4 linked regions of the Saccharomyces cerevisiae S288C genome follow. The gene in region 1 interacts genetically with each later gene. Each region holds a gene or a part of one and is shown in the gene's direction. Other genes may lie near its edges.

Region 1 (5,850 bases):
GTTTTACGTCGTTGGAGGTGTTTGATTCTGTCTTTGCGGTGCCAGCTGTATCCGTTACGTCTTCAAATTCATCTTCCAATGCATTTTCTCTAGCAGTTTCATCGTTATCATCCATAACATCTTCCATCTCTTCTTCCTCTTCTTCTTCCTCATCCTCTTCTTCTTCTTCCTCCTCCTCTTCTTCTTTATTGAGCTTTGCTTGCTTTTTAGCCAAAGCAGCGTAGTAATCATTCAACGTCTTTTCATTCTCTCTTTCTTCCATTTCTTGCTCGGTCAGAGTTCTGTTATTTTGATAGGATGTTTCCTGTGCAGGTTCATTATCAGGATTTATAGAATCCATGGCAGATGCAGTAACTACAGGATCGAACTCCTCTTCATTATCCAGTCTACCAAGAGCAGTTTTACCGATGGTACTCTGTTTATGCCATTCAGGGACAGCGTTTTGTTTTCTTTTCTCTTCAGCCTGTCTCTCTTGCAATTCCCTTTGAGCCACTTCATCACTTGCCGTGGTAATGTTGATGTGTAATGTGGCTTGAGAGTTAGCACCGGCACGTCTACTACTGTCGTTACCAAGAGCAGTACCCATAAGATTTGGCAATGGAGCAGAATCTCCCGGTCTGAACATGGTGCTGCCTTTCTTTGGATTGTACGTGTATGCTGCATGTGATTGATTTTGAGGTGGTATCAAGCGAGCCAATGCAATTTCGAAAGTATTCTCCTCAATTCTTGAATCATCAATCTTTTTCAAAGAATCAATGATTGGCTGAATTTGGTCCATTAACCTATTTAATTTATCTTGCTTCTCTTTGTTTTTTTTACCAGAATCATCTTCCACCAACGGTTCATCACATAGGGAACATAAAAATTCTGTCCTATCAAAATTCAATAATTGTACAGCTTCCAATTGTGTGTACTTGGTCAAACAAATCGGACACATGTAACCATTAGGTTCTGAATTTTTGTCCAAGTCATCCTTCAATCTTTGTACGACTTGATGGACCTTCCATTTGATTGCGTCAATAGCATGAGGATATTTTACATAGTAGTAAACTCTTTCCACACTTTTTGAGTTTGGAGGGTATTCTCTTTGTTTGTGTATGGATATTAACCTGTCTGATCTTAGTCTAGCAATTAGCGGCCCCAGTTCCGTCTTATTTATGCTCAACAATTGTTTCAAGTCATCTTCAGCTAGGACCGAGTGAAATAGTATAGCATCGAGTACCAGTACAAAGGAGCCACCATAAAACCCCCTAACGACGAACTTTAAAAGATTTTTCACAATATCATCTATAGGTCTATCCATACTCTACTCACTGCAGCAGCTGCTTCCAGTAGTTTTCTATCTTTGGCTCGATTAGGACGAGCAATCATGCTGCCAAGTTTACACTTAATTAGCTTTTTTCCTAATCTTGCAAGAACCGCTTAGATAATCACTACACACGGTAACGCTTAGTAAAAAACCAAAAAAAAAAACCAAGTATTATTACGTATTAACTCACCAGACTACAATAGTAACCTGAAATTCGCCCATGGTACAATTTACACTTCCAAATTTTTTTGTTTTTTTATCATTTGGACATCCTTTGCCCTTCACCCAGTGTCAATCATTACAACAATTATAGCGATTCATCACAGTGCAAGGATCACTCTTAACGAAGGAAGAAAAGTTAGAAAAATTTCTCATATGTTTCGCGTTTATTTTCGATACCAATTCGTTTCGATGTGTGCAAATTGAATATTGCATCGTGCATTGCAAGGTTTTTCAAATTCTTGCGTCTTGTCAACCGTTCAAGGCGATTGAAAGATATTCACTGCATATCTTCTTATACGAAAAGCATCGAAGAAAAAACACCCATACAACCAAGTATAGACGGAACAATTCGGGTTTTTACTCTTCCCTAGGCGGTTTAAATCGGATATATGAAAAGAAATCAAAAAAAAAAAAAAAAAAAAAAAAGAATTGGCGCATTTGAAGTTTTATTATCGTACGCGTTATTGTTTGCGCTAACATCGCATCGCATCAGCTGACTGAGTGACTGAGTCCCCTTGGCTTCGACTCATCATCGCCTTTCTATGGTGAAAAATTTTCGCAATTTCCTATTACTGTACCGCGTATGCTCCATTTGACTTCCTTTGGTCTACAGCTTTAGCGCTATAGAGTTTCGAAGTCGTACCCGTTACCGGCATGATTGACATATTATATATATATATATATGCGTATCTTTATACTTACTCGTATATTGTGTCCAGCTTCGGATATTTGTGCTTTTGAAACCTACAACTTTTAACGAGTTTAGTGCACATAAATACCAAGACAAAAGGTAGAAATACGGTTATGCTTAGAACCAGACTATCCGTTTCCGTTGCTGCTAGATCGCAACTAACCAGATCCTTGACAGCATCAAGGACAGCACCATTAAGAAGATGGCCTATTCAGCAATCGCGTTTATATTCTTCTAACACTAGATCGCATAAAGCTACCACAACAAGAGAAAATACTTTCCAAAAGCCATACAGCGACGAGGAGGTCACTAAAACACCCGTCGGTTCTCGCGCCAGAAAGATCTTCGAAGCTCCTCACCCACATGCCACTCGTTTGACTGTAGAAGGTGCCATAGAATGTCCCTTGGAGAGCTTTCAACTTTTAAACTCTCCTTTATTTAACAAGGGTTCTGCATTTACACAAGAAGAAAGGGAAGCGTTTAATTTAGAAGCATTGCTACCACCACAAGTGAACACTTTGGACGAACAACTGGAAAGAAGCTACAAGCAGTTATGCTATTTGAAGACGCCCTTGGCCAAAAACGACTTCATGACGTCTTTGAGAGTACAGAACAAAGTCCTATATTTTGCATTAATAAGGAGACATATCAAGGAATTAGTTCCTATCATTTACACCCCAACCGAAGGTGATGCTATTGCTGCCTATTCCCACAGGTTCAGAAAGCCAGAAGGTGTGTTTTTAGACATTACCGAACCTGATTCCATCGAATGTAGATTGGCTACATACGGTGGAGACAAAGATGTAGACTACATCGTTGTGTCGGATTCGGAAGGTATTCTGGGAATTGGTGACCAAGGTATCGGTGGTGTACGTATTGCTATCTCCAAATTGGCATTGATGACGCTGTGCGGTGGTATTCATCCCGGCCGTGTGCTACCTGTGTGTTTGGACGTCGGTACTAACAACAAGAAACTAGCCCGTGACGAATTGTACATGGGTAACAAGTTCTCCAGAATCAGGGGTAAGCAATATGACGACTTCTTGGAAAAATTCATCAAGGCCGTTAAGAAAGTGTATCCAAGCGCCGTTCTGCATTTCGAAGATTTCGGTGTTAAGAACGCTAGAAGATTACTAGAAAAGTACAGGTACGAATTGCCATCATTCAACGATGACATTCAGGGCACCGGTGCCGTCGTGATGGCCTCGTTGATTGCTGCTTTGAAACATACCAACAGAGACTTGAAAGACACCAGAGTGCTTATTTACGGTGCCGGGTCTGCGGGCCTCGGTATCGCAGATCAAATTGTGAATCATATGGTCACGCACGGCGTTGACAAGGAAGAAGCGCGCAAGAAAATCTTCTTGATGGACAGACGTGGGTTAATTCTACAATCTTACGAGGCTAACTCCACTCCCGCCCAACACGTATACGCTAAGAGTGATGCGGAATGGGCTGGTATCAACACCCGCTCTTTACATGATGTGGTGGAGAACGTCAAACCAACGTGTTTGGTTGGCTGCTCCACACAAGCAGGCGCATTCACTCAAGATGTCGTAGAAGAAATGCACAAGCACAATCCTAGACCGATCATTTTCCCATTATCCAACCCTACTAGACTACACGAAGCCGTTCCTGCCGATTTAATGAAGTGGACCAACAACAACGCTCTTGTAGCTACCGGATCTCCTTTCCCACCTGTTGATGGTTACCGTATCTCGGAGAACAACAATTGTTACTCTTTCCCAGGTATCGGTTTAGGTGCCGTACTATCGCGTGCCACCACCATCACAGACAAGATGATCTCCGCTGCAGTGGACCAACTAGCCGAATTGTCGCCACTAAGAGAGGGCGACTCGAGACCTGGGTTGCTACCCGGCCTGGACACCATCACCAACACTTCTGCGCGTCTAGCTACCGCTGTGATCTTGCAAGCACTCGAGGAGGGAACCGCCCGTATCGAGCAAGAACAAGTACCGGGAGGAGCTCCCGGCGAAACTGTCAAGGTTCCTCGTGACTTTGACGAATGTTTACAGTGGGTCAAAGCCCAAATGTGGGAGCCTGTGTACAGACCTATGATCAAGGTCCAACATGACCCATCGGTGCACACCAACCAATTGTAGACGAAGCATAACCAACGCCTGCACTTAAAAAAAAAAAACCATATAGAGTAATATATAAATATATATATTTGTACAATTTTTTTCTTTATTTTTAAAAAAAAAATAATACTTGACATACCGTAATAATAATAATAATAATAATAATAATAATAATATAATAATAATACAATAATACAATAATAAAAACAATAACAACAGCAACAATAGCACAAGAACATTAACCCAAGCAACTAGCAATAACAAGAACGGTAATTATCAAAACAAAATATGATACCAAATGCGGAAAAAATCGGCACATATCCATAAAACATACACATCGTGCTTAGCGATCTACATACCGTGGAGGAATGGGTGGAACGGTTACTGACGACGGCCGCGCGGGGTTTTGTGTTGGGTGTGATGTCCGGATGCAACAGCAGCAAAGGAGAGGCGCAGCGGACCTTCCTTACTTTCTTTTTCTTCTTTTCTTTTCCACCTCCCCTTGGTGAGAGAACGAATGGGAACAAAAAAAAAATGCACACATCAGCTGGTGGAGCCAAGTATAGACACGGCCCGGCGCATTCGTTCTCTCTCTCCTTCTGTCTCTCGTTCTCGCTGTAAATGTGGTTTACTTCGTTATCCTCTGTACCGTAATCGTACTGCATTGTATTCTGTTTCCTCTACTGCTAGGTCACTGCCTAACAGCTACTGCTACCGAGACTGTGACGCTGAAGTTTATTCGCTCTGATATCCCACAAAGAACTCTATTACACACAGACAAGGCAAGGCAACGCAAGTCAAGGCAAGACCACAACTATATCCCCTTCTTCTATCCATTCTGTGATATACGTACGACGCTAACAGTACCCACAACTGCAATGAACACCGGTATCTCGCCCAAACAGGACGACGCCTCTAACTCCAACTTACTCAACATAGGCCAAGACCATTCGCTGCAGTATCAGGGTCTCGAACACAACGACTCCCAGTACAGAGATGCTTCTCACCAGACACCTCACCAATACTTGAACCAGTTTCAAGCCCAGCCTCAACAACAACAACAGCAGCAGCAGCAGCAACAACAGCAACAACAACAAGCGCCTTATCAAGGTCACTTCCAGCAGTCGCCTCAACAACAACAGCAAAATGTTTATTATCCACTACCTCCACAATCTTTGACGCAACCTACTTCGCAGTCGCAACAACAACAACAGCAACAACAACAACAACAGTATGCTAATTCGAACTCAAATTCAAACAACAATGTTAATGTTAACGCGCTACCTCAGGATTTCGGTTACATGCAACAAACCGGATCGGGCCAAAACTATCCGACGATCAATCAACAACAATTTTCCGAGTTTTACAACTCCTTTTTAAGTCATTTAACTCAAAAACAGACAAACCCTTCTGTCACGGGTACAGGCGCGTCTAGTAACAACAACAGTAACAACAACAATGTTAGTAGCGGCAATAACAGCACTAGCAGTAATCCTGCCCAGCTGGCAGCCTCCCAATTAAACCCT
Region 2 (4,996 bases), on another chromosome or scaffold:
GTTTTTGGGTGCTTCAAATTTGTCTTCTCAACTACCTTATTATAGGGCTCAAAAATAATTGACGTCATCGCTACAAGTCAGATGTCGATGTTAAGAATCTGGAGTTGCATCGTACATTTCTTTTCCGTGCAGGCACTTGATTCACGAATAAAGCCAGACATTGAATTCAAAAGGCGACAAAGGATATTTATCAATTCATCTAAAGAAGAGAATGGTTCATCTTCTAGTGCCGTTACTGTTACCCGTAACCCTGTGCTCAGCTCTAATAGCCCATCTCCTCCGCTATGGAATACATGGGAATTTAGACTATATTATTTGGCGTTCACCGTAGTAGTTCCTTTCATGATAAAGGCGGCATTGGCTACGAGCTCCGAGTCTAATCCAAACTACTATAAATTCAGCGGACTGCTAGCCCATGGTTGGATTCTGGGCCGCAAAGTGGATAACAGCGATCCTCAGTATAGGTTTTTTAGATCCAATTTTTTTTTGTTGGCCATCTTAATATTACTACAAATTATATTAAAAAAGGTTTTTGTTAAATTTAGTAAAATTCCGAAAACAAAATTCGATTTTGCGTGTGGATTAGTTTTTGTCTGTTTCATGTACGGGATCAATTCTGTTAAGCTCTTTACGCATGCTTTTATTTTCTTCACTTTGGCACATTCGCTAAAGAGAAAGCGTTTGATAGCCGCTTTTGCGATTTGGTCCTATGGTATCTTTACACTATTCATCAATCAAAAAATGAAAAATCTCCCCTTTAATAATATTGCTATCATCCTAAGTCCCATGGATCAATGGTATAAGGGTATCGTTCCTCGATGGGATTTTTTTTTCAATTTTACATTATTGCGTTTGTTAAGTTACTCCATGGATTTTTTGGAAAGATGGCATGAACAATTGAGCCGCCAACCTTCGATAGATTACGATGATAGACGACCTGAATTCAGAAAAAGTTTATCTGGTTCTACTCTACAAACCATTTATGAGTCAGGTAAGAATGTTCTGGAGGAAAAGGAACGACTGGTAGCAGAACATCACATCCAGGATTACAACTTTATCAATTTTATCGCTTATATTACTTACGCGCCATTGTTTTTAGTGGGCCCAATTATCACTTTTAATGACTACCTTTATCAATCAGAAAATAAGCTTCCTTCGCTAACGAAAAAAAACATAGGCTTCTATGCCCTCAAAGTATTTTCGAGTTTGCTTTTGATGGAAATTATCCTACATTATATCTATGTGGGTGCAATAGCAAGGACCAAGGCATGGAACAATGATACACCCTTGCAACAGGCTATGATCGCGCTGTTCAACTTGAACATTATGTATTTAAAACTTTTGATCCCATGGAGGCTCTTTCGGCTGTGGGCCATGGTCGATGGTATTGATGCACCTGAAAATATGCTACGATGTGTGGATAATAATTATAGTACAGTGGGATTCTGGAGAGCCTGGCATACAAGTTTTAACAAGTGGGTAATCCGTTACATCTATGTTCCATTTGGCGGGTCCAATAACAAAATATTAACGAGCTTTGCCGTATTCTCATTTGTAGCAATATGGCATGACATCCAATTACGAGTGTTGTTTTGGGGGTGGTTAACAGTCCTTTTATTATTAGGCGAAACCTACATTACTAACTGTTTTAGTAGATATAGATTCAGAAGCTGGTACAGGTTTGTTTGCGGTATCGGTGCTGCAATAAATATTTGCATGATGATGATTATTAATGTCTATGGATTTTGCTTGGGTGCAGAGGGAACGAAGCTTCTATTGAAGGGCATATTTAACAATTCACATAGTCCGGAGTTTTTGACTGCGGTAATGGTAAGCCTATTTATTGCTGTTCAGGTAATGTTTGAGATTAGAGAAGAAGAAAAAAGACATGGCATCAACTTGAAATGTTGATCTAGTTATTAGATAAGCTATGAAAGTCAATCCTTTTAATCGAGAATGTAAATATGTGGAATACACAATTTTAACCAAAGTACTATATATGCGTTACAAGTAATTTAAATTTAAGTTCACCGAAGTAAAACTAACTGCAAGATTGTTACAAAGAACAATGCACTATTTAAATCACACAATGGCTATTGAAAACTGTAACTGTCAGAAATGCTGCATGTATCTATATGCATCACTAAGTTGCGACTTTTAAGAAACTTCCACAGTTCTCAACTCTTCTTTGTGCTTTTCACACATTTTCACAATTTTCCGAAATCTCCAAATTGAAAAAAAAATAAAAATAAAAAAAGGCAGGAGAAGACTAAGTATTCATTATTCGCTGTTTCATAAATAAAAGGATAAAAAGGTTAAGGATACTGATTAAAATGTTTGTCAGGGTTAAATTGAATAAACCAGTAAAATGGTATAGGTTCTATAGTACGTTGGATTCACATTCCCTAAAGTTACAGAGCGGCTCGAAGTTTGTAAAAATAAAGCCAGTAAATAACTTGAGGAGTAGTTCATCAGCAGATTTCGTGTCCCCACCAAATTCCAAATTACAATCTTTAATCTGGCAGAACCCTTTACAAAATGTTTATATAACTAAAAAACCATGGACTCCATCCACAAGAGAAGCGATGGTTGAATTCATAACTCATTTACATGAGTCATACCCCGAGGTGAACGTCATTGTTCAACCCGATGTGGCAGAAGAAATTTCCCAGGATTTCAAATCTCCTTTGGAGAATGATCCCAACCGACCTCATATACTTTATACTGGTCCTGAACAAGATATCGTAAACAGAACAGACTTATTGGTGACATTGGGAGGTGATGGGACTATTTTACACGGCGTATCAATGTTCGGAAATACGCAAGTTCCTCCGGTTTTAGCATTTGCTCTGGGCACTCTGGGCTTTCTATCACCGTTTGATTTTAAGGAGCATAAAAAGGTCTTTCAGGAAGTAATCAGCTCTAGAGCCAAATGTTTGCATAGAACACGGCTAGAATGTCATTTGAAAAAAAAGGATAGCAACTCATCTATTGTGACCCATGCTATGAATGACATATTCTTACATAGGGGTAATTCCCCTCATCTCACTAACCTGGACATTTTCATTGATGGGGAATTTTTGACAAGAACGACAGCAGATGGTGTTGCATTGGCCACTCCAACGGGTTCCACAGCATATTCATTATCAGCAGGTGGATCTATTGTTTCCCCATTAGTCCCTGCTATTTTAATGACACCAATTTGTCCTCGCTCTTTGTCATTCCGACCACTGATTTTGCCTCATTCATCCCACATTAGGATAAAGATAGGTTCCAAATTGAACCAAAAACCAGTCAACAGTGTGGTAAAACTTTCTGTTGATGGTATTCCTCAACAGGATTTAGATGTTGGTGATGAAATTTATGTTATAAATGAGGTCGGCACTATATACATAGATGGTACTCAGCTTCCGACGACAAGAAAAACTGAAAATGACTTTAATAATTCAAAAAAGCCTAAAAGGTCAGGGATTTATTGTGTCGCCAAGACCGAGAATGACTGGATTAGAGGAATCAATGAACTTTTAGGATTCAATTCTAGCTTTAGGCTGACCAAGAGACAGACTGATAATGATTAAACGCTCTGAATGCAAAGATTCAATGAGATTCTCTAAGAATTCTATTGATAAGATTTAAAGGTATTTGACAAGTAGAGATCTTTATTTTTTCTTGCATTTTGTCTAGAGAAATCTCAACTGACATACTCGACATGAAATTTTTGGTATTGTGTCTTTTATTCTATTGCTTTAAGAAAACTGTGACATATAGGGAAGACATGCTTAACAAGAAGATATAATTATATAATATATATATTATTAATAATAACATCCTTACTGCAGTCCTGTTGTGGGAGAAAATGGAGAGAGACTATGTTTCGTATCAATTCCTAAAATCAAAAAAAAAAAAAAAAAAAAGTTAAACAAGCACTCGCTGTTCATTTGTTTTACAAGTATTCATACTCTAATAGGTCATTGAGCTTCTTTTCTTGAGGAGAGATCCAATTTGAAGTCGGAATAAGATTTGCTTTCATTAGCGTAGGCAATAATTATGAGATAAATGGTGCAGCACTATTAAGTAGTGTGGATTTCAATAATTTCCGAATTAGGAATAAATGCGCTAAATAGACATCCCGTTCTCTTTGGTAATCTGCATAATTCTGATGCAATATCCAACAACTATTTGTGCAATTATTTAACAAAATCCAATTAACTTTCCTAATTAGTCCTTCAATAGAACATCTGTATTCCTTTTTTTTATGAACACCTTCCTAATTAGGCCATCAACGACAGTAAATTTTGCCGAATTTAATAGCTTCTACTGAAAAACAGTGGACCATGTGAAAAGATGCATCTCATTTATCAAACACATAATATTCAAGTGAGCCTTACTTCAATTGTATTGAAGTGCAAGAAAACCAAAAAGCAACAACAGGTTTTGGATAAGTACATATATAAGAGGGCCTTTTGTTCCCATCAAAAATGTTACTGTTCTTACGATTCATTTACGATTCAAGAATAGTTCAAACAAGAAGATTACAAACTATCAATTTCATACACAATATAAACGATTAAAAGAATGAGATTTCCTTCAATTTTTACTGCAGTTTTATTCGCAGCATCCTCCGCATTAGCTGCTCCAGTCAACACTACAACAGAAGATGAAACGGCACAAATTCCGGCTGAAGCTGTCATCGGTTACTTAGATTTAGAAGGGGATTTCGATGTTGCTGTTTTGCCATTTTCCAACAGCACAAATAACGGGTTATTGTTTATAAATACTACTATTGCCAGCATTGCTGCTAAAGAAGAAGGGGTATCTTTGGATAAAAGAGAGGCTGAAGCTTGGCATTGGTTGCAACTAAAACCTGGCCAACCAATGTACAAGAGAGAAGCCGAAGCTGAAGCTTGGCATTGGCTGCAACTAAAGCCTGGCCAACCAATGTACAAAAGAGAAGCCGACGCTGAAGCTTGGCATTGGCTGCAACTAAAGCCTGGCC
Region 3 (4,918 bases), on another chromosome or scaffold:
GAACCCATCATAAAAATGGACCTTTTCGTATTACCGCCCCCTTTGTAGAGGGGGAGGAACGGCAACTTCTTGACTATTACGACGTATCACCACCCCGTTAGATATACTATGGAAAAAACTATTAAAAACCATTATAATTCATTAATGACATCGGTCCTGAGGTAGTATTACGTATAACTTACCTGGCTCTTGGTCATAGCTTTTTATCCGTTTACGAAAAAAGGAGAAGAAGATTGGGCTTCCGCGGCTATTGTTTGGTTTATACCCCGCCGTATGTTGGTGCTTCTATAATTAGAGCGAAATAGGAAATACAAAAAATCCTTGGAGGGGAGGACCAGCCTCATCGGGCTAAAACTCCCTCAAAACCGGAGGGGCAACCAAAGTATATATCTCATTATGGCCGATACTTCTAGAGGCGCACTAACAGAAGCACCTCAGCCCCTGCAGGTGAAAGAAAGAGGTAATTAATTTTCCGGTTACTTACTTTCTCTCGCTATTGGGGAAAGCGTTGGTTCGAGGCGTTGAGGTCGAAGACAATCATTGTTTTCTTCTTATTTAAGTACATCTTTAGAAGAAAATTACACAACTGGAATGAGTAAATCAATACTTGCTTTGTGTTCCCATTGTTAGATACTCTTGTTTTAGCATGTGATAGCAGTATATAATATAACCTGCAAAATAATCGAAACGCGTACACAGGAAAGAGTACATAAATAACCATAGTATATTTCTGGACATATCTTATTACACAACATAAAATAGAATGTTTAACATGAATCTACTTTCTACACCTTCTTCTGAAGAGGGTTCTCCACAGAATAGGTCATCTTCAATGTCTTCTGTTGAGGGCAAGAAGGATAGGGACACCTTTACTAATTTGCAAAACGAATTTGATGGTAAAGTATTTGGCGTCTCACTCGAGGAATCACTGAAAGTTGCTCAAGAGGAAGTAATTATCCAAAAAAGTACAAATGAAATTGGTTCCATACCGGTGGTAATAGCAAAAAGTGGGAAATACCTAAAAGAGAATGCATTAGACACAACAGGAATTTTCCGTATTGCGGGAAGCAATAAACGTGTTAGAGAGCTACAAGCTGTTTTCTCTAAACCGCCCGATTATGGTCGTAAATTTGAAGGATGGTGTGATTTCAATGTTCATGACATTGCAACTTTATTAAAAAGATATTTGAACTCATTAAGTGAGCCTTTGGTTCCCCTAGCATTATACGACATTTTTAGAAATCCAATATTAGAAAACCCAAAAATAAATGAGCACAAAGAACAAATCATTAAGGACTACGAAGATATTTATATGCTCTTACCACAACAAAATCGCCATTTAATACTTTATTTAGCCGCGCTCTTGAATTTATTTGCAAGAAATGAAAAGAAGAATTTAATGTCAGCAAGCAATTTAGCGGCCATCGTACAACCCTCACTTTTGTCTCATCCCAAGGATGAAATGTGCCCGAAAGAGTATGAGGCTTCCAGAACTGTCATCGAATTCCTCATACTACACGCTTCAGATATAATACCGAATACGGAAAAAGCGAATAAGGACACCATGCCGCATGCAGGAACAGTAGCAAAGTTTAACAACATTACCGTTCCTGAAATGGCTATTGACTCCGATGAAGAAGATTTTGTGCACCCTTCAATAGATGACCATATGCTTCCAAGGTCACGTGCACTTTCTGACTCCAACAATTTTACCATACATCATCATCATCATCATCATCATGCACTGTTTCCTAGCCCAATAGATTTTGATAACAATGGGCTTTCTGTACCGAGATCCTTTAAAGGTAGAACATTGAGTGCAGAGTCCCTTTCTCCCAGACTTAGTAAATTACTTGGGAACGTTGGAAACAGCAGCAATACTGGCATCAAAGACCCTACAGAAAGAGTTCCTAGAGGTGAACATAAAACCAAACACAAACAACGACAGTCATGGTTGAGAAGACTCACTAGCCCTTCTAGAACGCAGCCTTAGCTTCCTAAGCACTGTGATCTGCTAGTCGATTCCGAGGTTCGGCGAAGAAATTGTCGTTGCCCCGCCAGGGGCCTTTTGCGATACTCGGCGCTTCTTTCAGCAATCTCGGTCCGCATCTCGGCAAGGGGGGGCATGACACGGGCCGCTCTGGTTGGTCAGTTCCTATTTTCTGTAACTTCCATTGTTTGGTTAAAGAATATATAAGTTATTGAAAAGCTCATAGGTCCCTTATTATAGGCCCTAAGGTTTTAGTTTCTCATCATAGTCATATCAGAAAAACCCTCCTTCTAAAGTTTTCCTCTTTTCTTATTTCTTTTTCATTTATTATTCATATTTATATAAATATATATTCCAAGTGCATGACATTATTGGATACACTTTTTCTGAACCTGAATTACCTTGGTAGATAATAAGATACAGATCGGGAACGAACAACAATTATAATATTTTTTAATAATGTTGAGAAATACTTTTTTTAGAAACACCTCGAGGAGGTTTTTGGCTACTGTAAAGCAACCTTCAATCGGAAGATATACCGGCAAACCTAACCCTTCTACCGGCAAATACACGGTCTCGTTCATTGAAGGTGATGGTATCGGACCTGAAATTTCCAAGTCTGTAAAGAAAATCTTTAGTGCAGCAAACGTCCCCATAGAATGGGAATCTTGTGATGTTAGCCCTATCTTTGTCAACGGATTAACGACCATTCCTGACCCTGCCGTACAATCTATCACAAAAAACCTGGTTGCACTAAAAGGTCCACTAGCTACACCTATTGGTAAAGGTCACAGATCTTTGAATTTGACATTGAGAAAAACATTTGGGTTATTTGCCAACGTTCGTCCCGCAAAGTCTATTGAAGGTTTTAAGACCACTTACGAAAACGTTGATTTAGTTCTTATCAGAGAGAATACCGAAGGTGAATATTCTGGTATCGAACACATAGTTTGCCCTGGCGTTGTTCAATCTATTAAACTGATCACAAGAGATGCCTCTGAGCGAGTCATTAGATACGCTTTTGAATATGCAAGAGCCATCGGCAGACCAAGAGTTATTGTGGTACATAAATCTACTATCCAGAGATTAGCTGATGGTTTATTCGTTAATGTTGCCAAAGAACTATCCAAAGAGTATCCTGACCTTACTTTAGAAACTGAACTTATTGATAACAGTGTGTTAAAGGTGGTCACCAACCCATCTGCTTACACAGACGCTGTTTCTGTTTGTCCAAATCTATACGGTGATATCTTGTCCGACTTGAACTCTGGTTTGAGCGCCGGTTCTTTAGGTTTAACTCCATCTGCCAATATTGGTCATAAAATCTCGATCTTTGAAGCTGTCCATGGCTCTGCCCCTGATATTGCCGGTCAAGATAAAGCGAATCCAACTGCCCTACTTTTATCTTCAGTAATGATGTTAAACCACATGGGTCTAACGAATCATGCTGACCAAATTCAAAATGCAGTATTGTCTACTATCGCATCAGGTCCAGAAAACAGAACAGGTGACTTGGCTGGTACTGCTACTACTTCATCATTCACTGAAGCAGTCATCAAGAGATTATAAAAGTCCTATTCTTTTCCCTCTCAGGTTTTTTCACGCCTTGAAAACAAATGACTATCCGTTTAATATAATGATTTCTGAAAGATTATGAAGTAAAAAAAAGCAAAATGCTTAGATATATAATATATACATACAATAAAAATTCCGTATCTACTCCAAACTTCTATGGCTTTGTCCTCAATGTGTTCTGATGTTTATTTAATAGCCTGAAGTTTTTATTAAGTATGTATACTTTTCGATATTTATTCTTTTAATAATGCTACAGGAGACCATAAGTGATAACTCAAAATGTCCCTCAGTGGACTTGTAAACCAAAAAAAAAAAAAAAGAAAAAGAATTAAATATATTATGTGTAAAAAGAAAACACCACCGTGTGTTATGTATATTTTGTTTATGTCTATCTATCATCTATCCTGCTGGCAGTCAATGTTCACCTTACAAAATTAATCATTGAAATTATTGCTTCCCCTTATAGATGTACTGATAATCGTAAACCTCGTCAACAAGATTGCTATTCCTCTTCCACGAAGTTATTTCGTCCAAAATATCATCCAAGTTAAATAATCTAACGGTTGGATATATACCTTGGATTCTCGGCAAGCCTATACCAGCGGACCCACCGTAACATAACCACATCTCATTTTTTGACTGTAAGCAACAGTCATTATTATGTTCATGTCCGCAACTGACACCCTTTATATTCCAAAGACTCAGGATATCAAGGAAGCTTTTGTAATGTTTGCCATTGATCGTCATTGAAACTTGTCCTCTAGACCTTGGCGTATCTACTGTTAAGGTAGACCTCTCATTATACTGCCCAATAATAGGAAATAAACCATGAGGCCTATATTCCGATAATGGAAAATATTGAAATGCCAAGCCAAAGTCTATTTTCCCAATCAGGTCGTTATAATCTTGTAGGAAATTATTGACGGGCGCAAATGAATCAAAGACGAAAAATAAAGCCTCTGATGGGTTTGTTTCGTCTTCGGTATCAATGTCTCTTTCCAAAAGAGTATTCTTCGTGAGCTTCTTTTTAAATGAGACTTCTATGGCCATATGACCCTCTTCTGATGCAACGTTGTTAAATGTGTAAGGTAAATTCCTGATAAAGTCTCTAATTTGTGCCGATGTGGCCAAATTGGATTCGTCAGAAACACCCAATGAAATTGCGTAGGGTATTTTATTAGAAATCATTGGTTGGACAACTTTCATAATGCACGTTTGATAGTCGATAGTATTATGTGAGTCTAACAAATCACCTGTGATCACAACTAAATCAGGGTTTTCTGATGCGAGTACCCTATCAATAAAATTTACTGTTTTTATTTCATTGATTACGGTCATGCTATTATCCGTACA
Region 4 (4,180 bases), on another chromosome or scaffold:
AAAGGTATTCTGGCAAAATATTTTGCAAGGTTGGTTCATATGATGTATAAGGAACAGGTTGATGGTTCAAAGAAAATTTCCATATCACCGATAAAATTTAAATTGGCATGTGGATCTGTTAACTCATTATTTAAGACTGCATCCCAACAGGACTGCCAAGAGTTTTGCCAATTCCTTCTAGATGGTCTTCATGAAGACTTGAACCAATGCGGTTCAAACCCACCTTTGAAGGAGCTTTCTCAAGAAGCTGAGGCGAGAAGAGAAAAACTGTCTTTGCGAATTGCCTCGTCAATTGAGTGGGAACGATTCTTGACTACTGATTTCAGTGTTATTGTCGACTTATTTCAGGGACAATACGCCTCACGACTAAAATGTAAAGTCTGTAGTCATACCTCGACAACATACCAACCTTTTACGGTGCTGTCAATCCCTATTCCTAAAAAAAATTCCCGAAATAATATTACCATTGAAGATTGTTTCAGAGAGTTCACCAAATGTGAGAACTTGGAAGTGGATGAGCAATGGTTGTGCCCACATTGTGAAAAAAGGCAGCCCTCCACGAAACAATTGACAATAACGAGATTACCGAGGAATCTGATAGTCCATTTAAAGAGATTTGATAATTTATTAAACAAAAATAATGACTTCGTCATATACCCTTTTTTGTTGGACTTGACTCCATTTTGGGCCAATGATTTTGACGGGGTTTTTCCTCCAGGTGTTAATGACGATGAACTACCAATAAGGGGACAAATACCACCTTTTAAGTATGAATTATATGGTGTAGCATGCCACTTTGGTACTTTGTATGGTGGTCATTATACAGCCTATGTGAAAAAGGGATTAAAGAAGGGATGGCTATATTTTGATGATACCAAATATAAACCTGTCAAAAACAAAGCCGATGCAATTAACTCTAATGCATACGTTTTGTTTTATCACCGCGTCTACGGTGTTTGATTCATTTGAATAAATAACTGAAAACCGTTGTCTATACACTTTTTTTCCCGTTCAACATGGCATATCATTATTTCCATCTAAGGTCAAAGTAAAAAACCCTAAATACAAATGATTTATTTTAACGGTAACAAACGAACTTTTTTTTAGAAGGTGTAAAGATGAGATCACGCCCAGATTTTGTCTTCCTCCTGTGCATCTCTTGGATTGATGATTTTCCTTTCTACCATAATACGTCATGAAAAGTATGTAAATATTTATAGCATTACATATATCTTTTATATGAAAAAAATCACTCATTCCCAGTCATCATCGTCGTCGTCGTCCTTGCTCTCATCCTTGTTGGCGAGGCCAACATGGTCACTAACATCTTTCAATCCCTCTTGAGACACAGCAACTTTCGTCTCCCCTTTAGATTTGTTGTCAGCTACTGCTTCTACTTTGTCATCATCTTCTTCTTCTTCTTCGTCATCCCACTCAACTTCTTTTTCCTCCGTTTCCTTTTCCTTTTTGGACAATATTTCTTTCCTTTTACTTTCTTTATCTAGAATTTTGTTTCTTTGTAAGAAATAGATGTGCCAGAAATCTTTATAGCTGATTTTATGGGGTACGATGTCGTTCATTAATTTGGAGATATCTTTGTCGCCCTGTAAAATAGAACATATCTCCTCAGTTTTTTCATCCACGTCAAACGGGTCCAGTTGCAAATCCATTTTATTGTCTAAATAAACCGATTTATCTTTAGATAATGTCCTTAGTTCGGCTTCTGTTCTATTTCCACCCACAGCAATTTCATTTTCTTTCGAATTCTCATCCTTGTCATTAGAGTCATTTTCTGCAGCATTATCGAAGCTACTGAAGCCAGACCAAAAATTCTTAGTTTTCATTTTGCTCCAATATGACTGGGCTAGACTTTCCACGCTGTGAATATTCTCGTCTAGTTTCTTCAAATACTTTTGTGCAGTCTCTGTAGTTTCATTGCTAATTGGCAAGTTAATTTCAATTCCGTCATCTTTCTCGATTACTAACTTTTTGAATGCACTTGTAGTCTTTTCATATCGTTTATTGACTTCCTCTTCTAACTTTTGGAAGGCCTCATTTGTTTTGTCATCTCGGCTCTGAAGTTCGTTATTTTCAGTGTTTTCTGTTGATCCAGTTTCCTTGGTATGAGAGTTGCTTATTTTATCATCTTCGATACAAGCTACTTGTTCTTCATAAAAGAATTCCATTTTATCCTAAAACGTCGAAGCAATGGAGCTCACTAGCTGTACCCTTATGTTGTGTTCTTTTTTTGTTGCATGACTTCTGCTAAGTGCTTTTTATCATTAATCACCGCTATTTGATGTAAGGCCAAAAAAAATGCGAAAGAAAAAAAGAGACTCTGTTAAGAAGGAAAGGAGTACCAATATAAACTATGGGTTCACAATTGCTATGAATACCCAGTTCACACATCTAGAATAAGCTATATGTATCAAAATGACACTAGTGACTCCGTTACAATTTTCGACTGTACAGCCAAATTTATATAGAGGATCTTACCCACGAGAAATCAATCTCCCATTCCTGAGAACCCTTAGATTGAAATACATATTATCTTTGACACCAGAACCTTTGAGCACTGATCCTCTAATGGTAAAGTTTTGTGAAGAAAATAACATTAAGACAATTCATATAAAATGTCAAAGTGAAAGAAAGGCAGACAAGACCAAACCCAAGATTAAAAGGAAAAAGAAAACAGTTCCTATTGAATACGATGTTGTAGTACGATGCGTTAAATTTCTGATTGATAAAGGGCATTACCCCTGTTATATGCACTGTACGAATGGTGAATTGATAATATCTCTCGTAGTAGCATGTATGAGAAAGTTTTCATATTGGAGTACGGTATCCATACTAAATGAGTTTTTGGTGTATAATTCCAGCATCAATATTCATGAAAGAAATTTCATTGAAAACTTTAACTCTGAAATCGAAGTTGACGATCTGGATATAAAGGATAAAGTTCCCTGGATTACCGTGCGATATATTGCAAGGACAGCCACAGAATCAAAAGATGAGTTGCGTGTTGATGATGCTAATGCGTCTGAAAAAGTTGCAAGAGTAAGTAGCGTGTCAAATTCTTTGCCAAAACTAAAATTTCATAGTATGTAAAATTCAGGGATAAATTCATATAATATTTTGTAAAGACAGAAGCTTCAGGGTTAAGTCTTAGCCGGGCCCTCCAGCATTGATAATCATTTTTTTCAATATCAAATGCCATTGAAAAGTCCAACGAAAATTACATCGACTTTACAAAAGAGACGAGCCGGTCACATTCTAGTATTGGCGAAGATTGGAAGCCATTTATCAACAGCAAGGAGGCATTCTGGAAAAATTGCAGCATATTTAAGAAAAGTGATAGGTTTATTTTTATACTAGAAGGACAGGAGCAACGCAAGCCATAATGCAGATAATAACCACTACGTTCATTCAAAAAGTAATTTTAGGATCACACCAATTACATGAGCAATTATCTATAGTGGAAGCCCGAATGATTGAATCTGCCATAGTTTCAATGCTCACAGAATCATTTTGCGAAAATGAGCAGACATTAAAATACTTAGCACGGCTACTTTCACCGATGTCTTATATGGATGTTATTAATGCAAGAAGGGGAAAGAAAATATGTGGGTACCCGCTATGCTATAAGAGTGCGGCAGAAAATTCATCTGATGGCTTCTTTATCCACTCAATGTATTGTAATAATTATCACAGTAAATGTTCGTTGTATTTAATGAGACAGTTATCACAAACGCCTCTGCATGAAAGGCGAGGCGTGCATTTAACTAGTTACATTAATCTAGAGTTTGATGATATGTACTCGGTAAGCCTTTTAGAAGAATTAGTTGGAAGTGAGGTACCTATAGATACCGTCAAATCGCTGATAACGAGTTTCAAGGATCTTGAGTTTGATGATACCTACAAGAATGAGCCTTTACCATTGGATGTGTACTTTGGACAGTTGACTACTGATGAGGAAACCTGTATAGAATAGGAAGTATAATTAAATCGTCTTCATCAGGATCCTTATCGCGGTCATACGAGTGACTATTTACATAGAAATGGAAGTAACCAGTAAATTTTCTATTAAACTTTCTGATTCACGCAACTTTTGCACTTAAAAACCGTATTTCGCCAAAACACTTGGCAAGTCCCTCCCTTCTATAAAGAGTGTCACATATGG

What was found.
Region 2: mutations in MAE1 (region 1) and POS5 impair growth when combined (synthetic growth defect), as found in Saccharomyces cerevisiae (2 studies listed by BioGRID, with this or other methods).
Region 3: mutations in MAE1 (region 1) and IDH2 together harm fitness more than expected from each alone (negative genetic interaction), as found in Saccharomyces cerevisiae (3 studies listed by BioGRID).
Region 4: mutations in MAE1 (region 1) and OCA6 together harm fitness more than expected from each alone (negative genetic interaction), as found in Saccharomyces cerevisiae (2 studies listed by BioGRID).

The regions. Positions count from the first base shown.
Region 1 is NC_001143.9:381,211-387,060, reverse strand, and holds MAE1 (malate dehydrogenase (oxaloacetate-decarboxylating)), read left to right. Parts: upstream 1-2,335; coding exon 2,336-4,345; downstream 4,346-5,850. Other genes in the region: transcription factor TFIIE subunit TFA1, read right to left, coding at 1-1,303; DNA-binding transcription repressor IXR1, read left to right, coding at 5,203-5,850. UniProt on the Saccharomyces cerevisiae protein: NAD-dependent mitochondrial malic enzyme that catalyzes the oxidative decarboxylation of malate to pyruvate.
Region 2 is NC_001148.4:189,073-194,068, forward strand, and holds POS5 (NADH kinase), read left to right. Parts: upstream 1-2,333; coding exon 2,334-3,578; downstream 3,579-4,996. Other genes in the region: GUP2 (putative O-acyltransferase), read left to right, coding at 82-1,911; MF(ALPHA)1 (Mf(Alpha)1p), read left to right, coding at 4,576-4,996. UniProt on the Saccharomyces cerevisiae protein: Phosphorylates both NADH and NAD(+), with a twofold preference for NADH. Anti-oxidant factor and key source of the cellular reductant NADPH.
Region 3 is NC_001147.6:577,801-582,718, forward strand, and holds IDH2 (isocitrate dehydrogenase (NAD(+)) IDH2), read left to right. Parts: upstream 1-2,449; coding exon 2,450-3,559; downstream 3,560-4,918. Other genes in the region: GTPase-activating protein BAG7, read left to right, coding at 764-1,993; SIA1 (Sia1p), read right to left, coding at 4,013-4,918. UniProt on the Saccharomyces cerevisiae protein: Performs an essential role in the oxidative function of the citric acid cycle. Also binds RNA; specifically to the 5'-untranslated leaders of mitochondrial mRNAs.
Region 4 is NC_001136.10:581,719-585,898, reverse strand, and holds OCA6 (protein-tyrosine-phosphatase), read left to right. Parts: upstream 1-2,433; coding exon 2,434-3,108; downstream 3,109-4,180. Other genes in the region: ubiquitin-specific protease DOA4, read left to right, coding at 1-960; DOS2 (Dos2p), read right to left, coding at 1,254-2,186; RTR2 (putative protein-serine/threonine phosphatase), read left to right, coding at 3,401-3,991; RRG1 (Rrg1p), read right to left, coding at 4,115-4,180.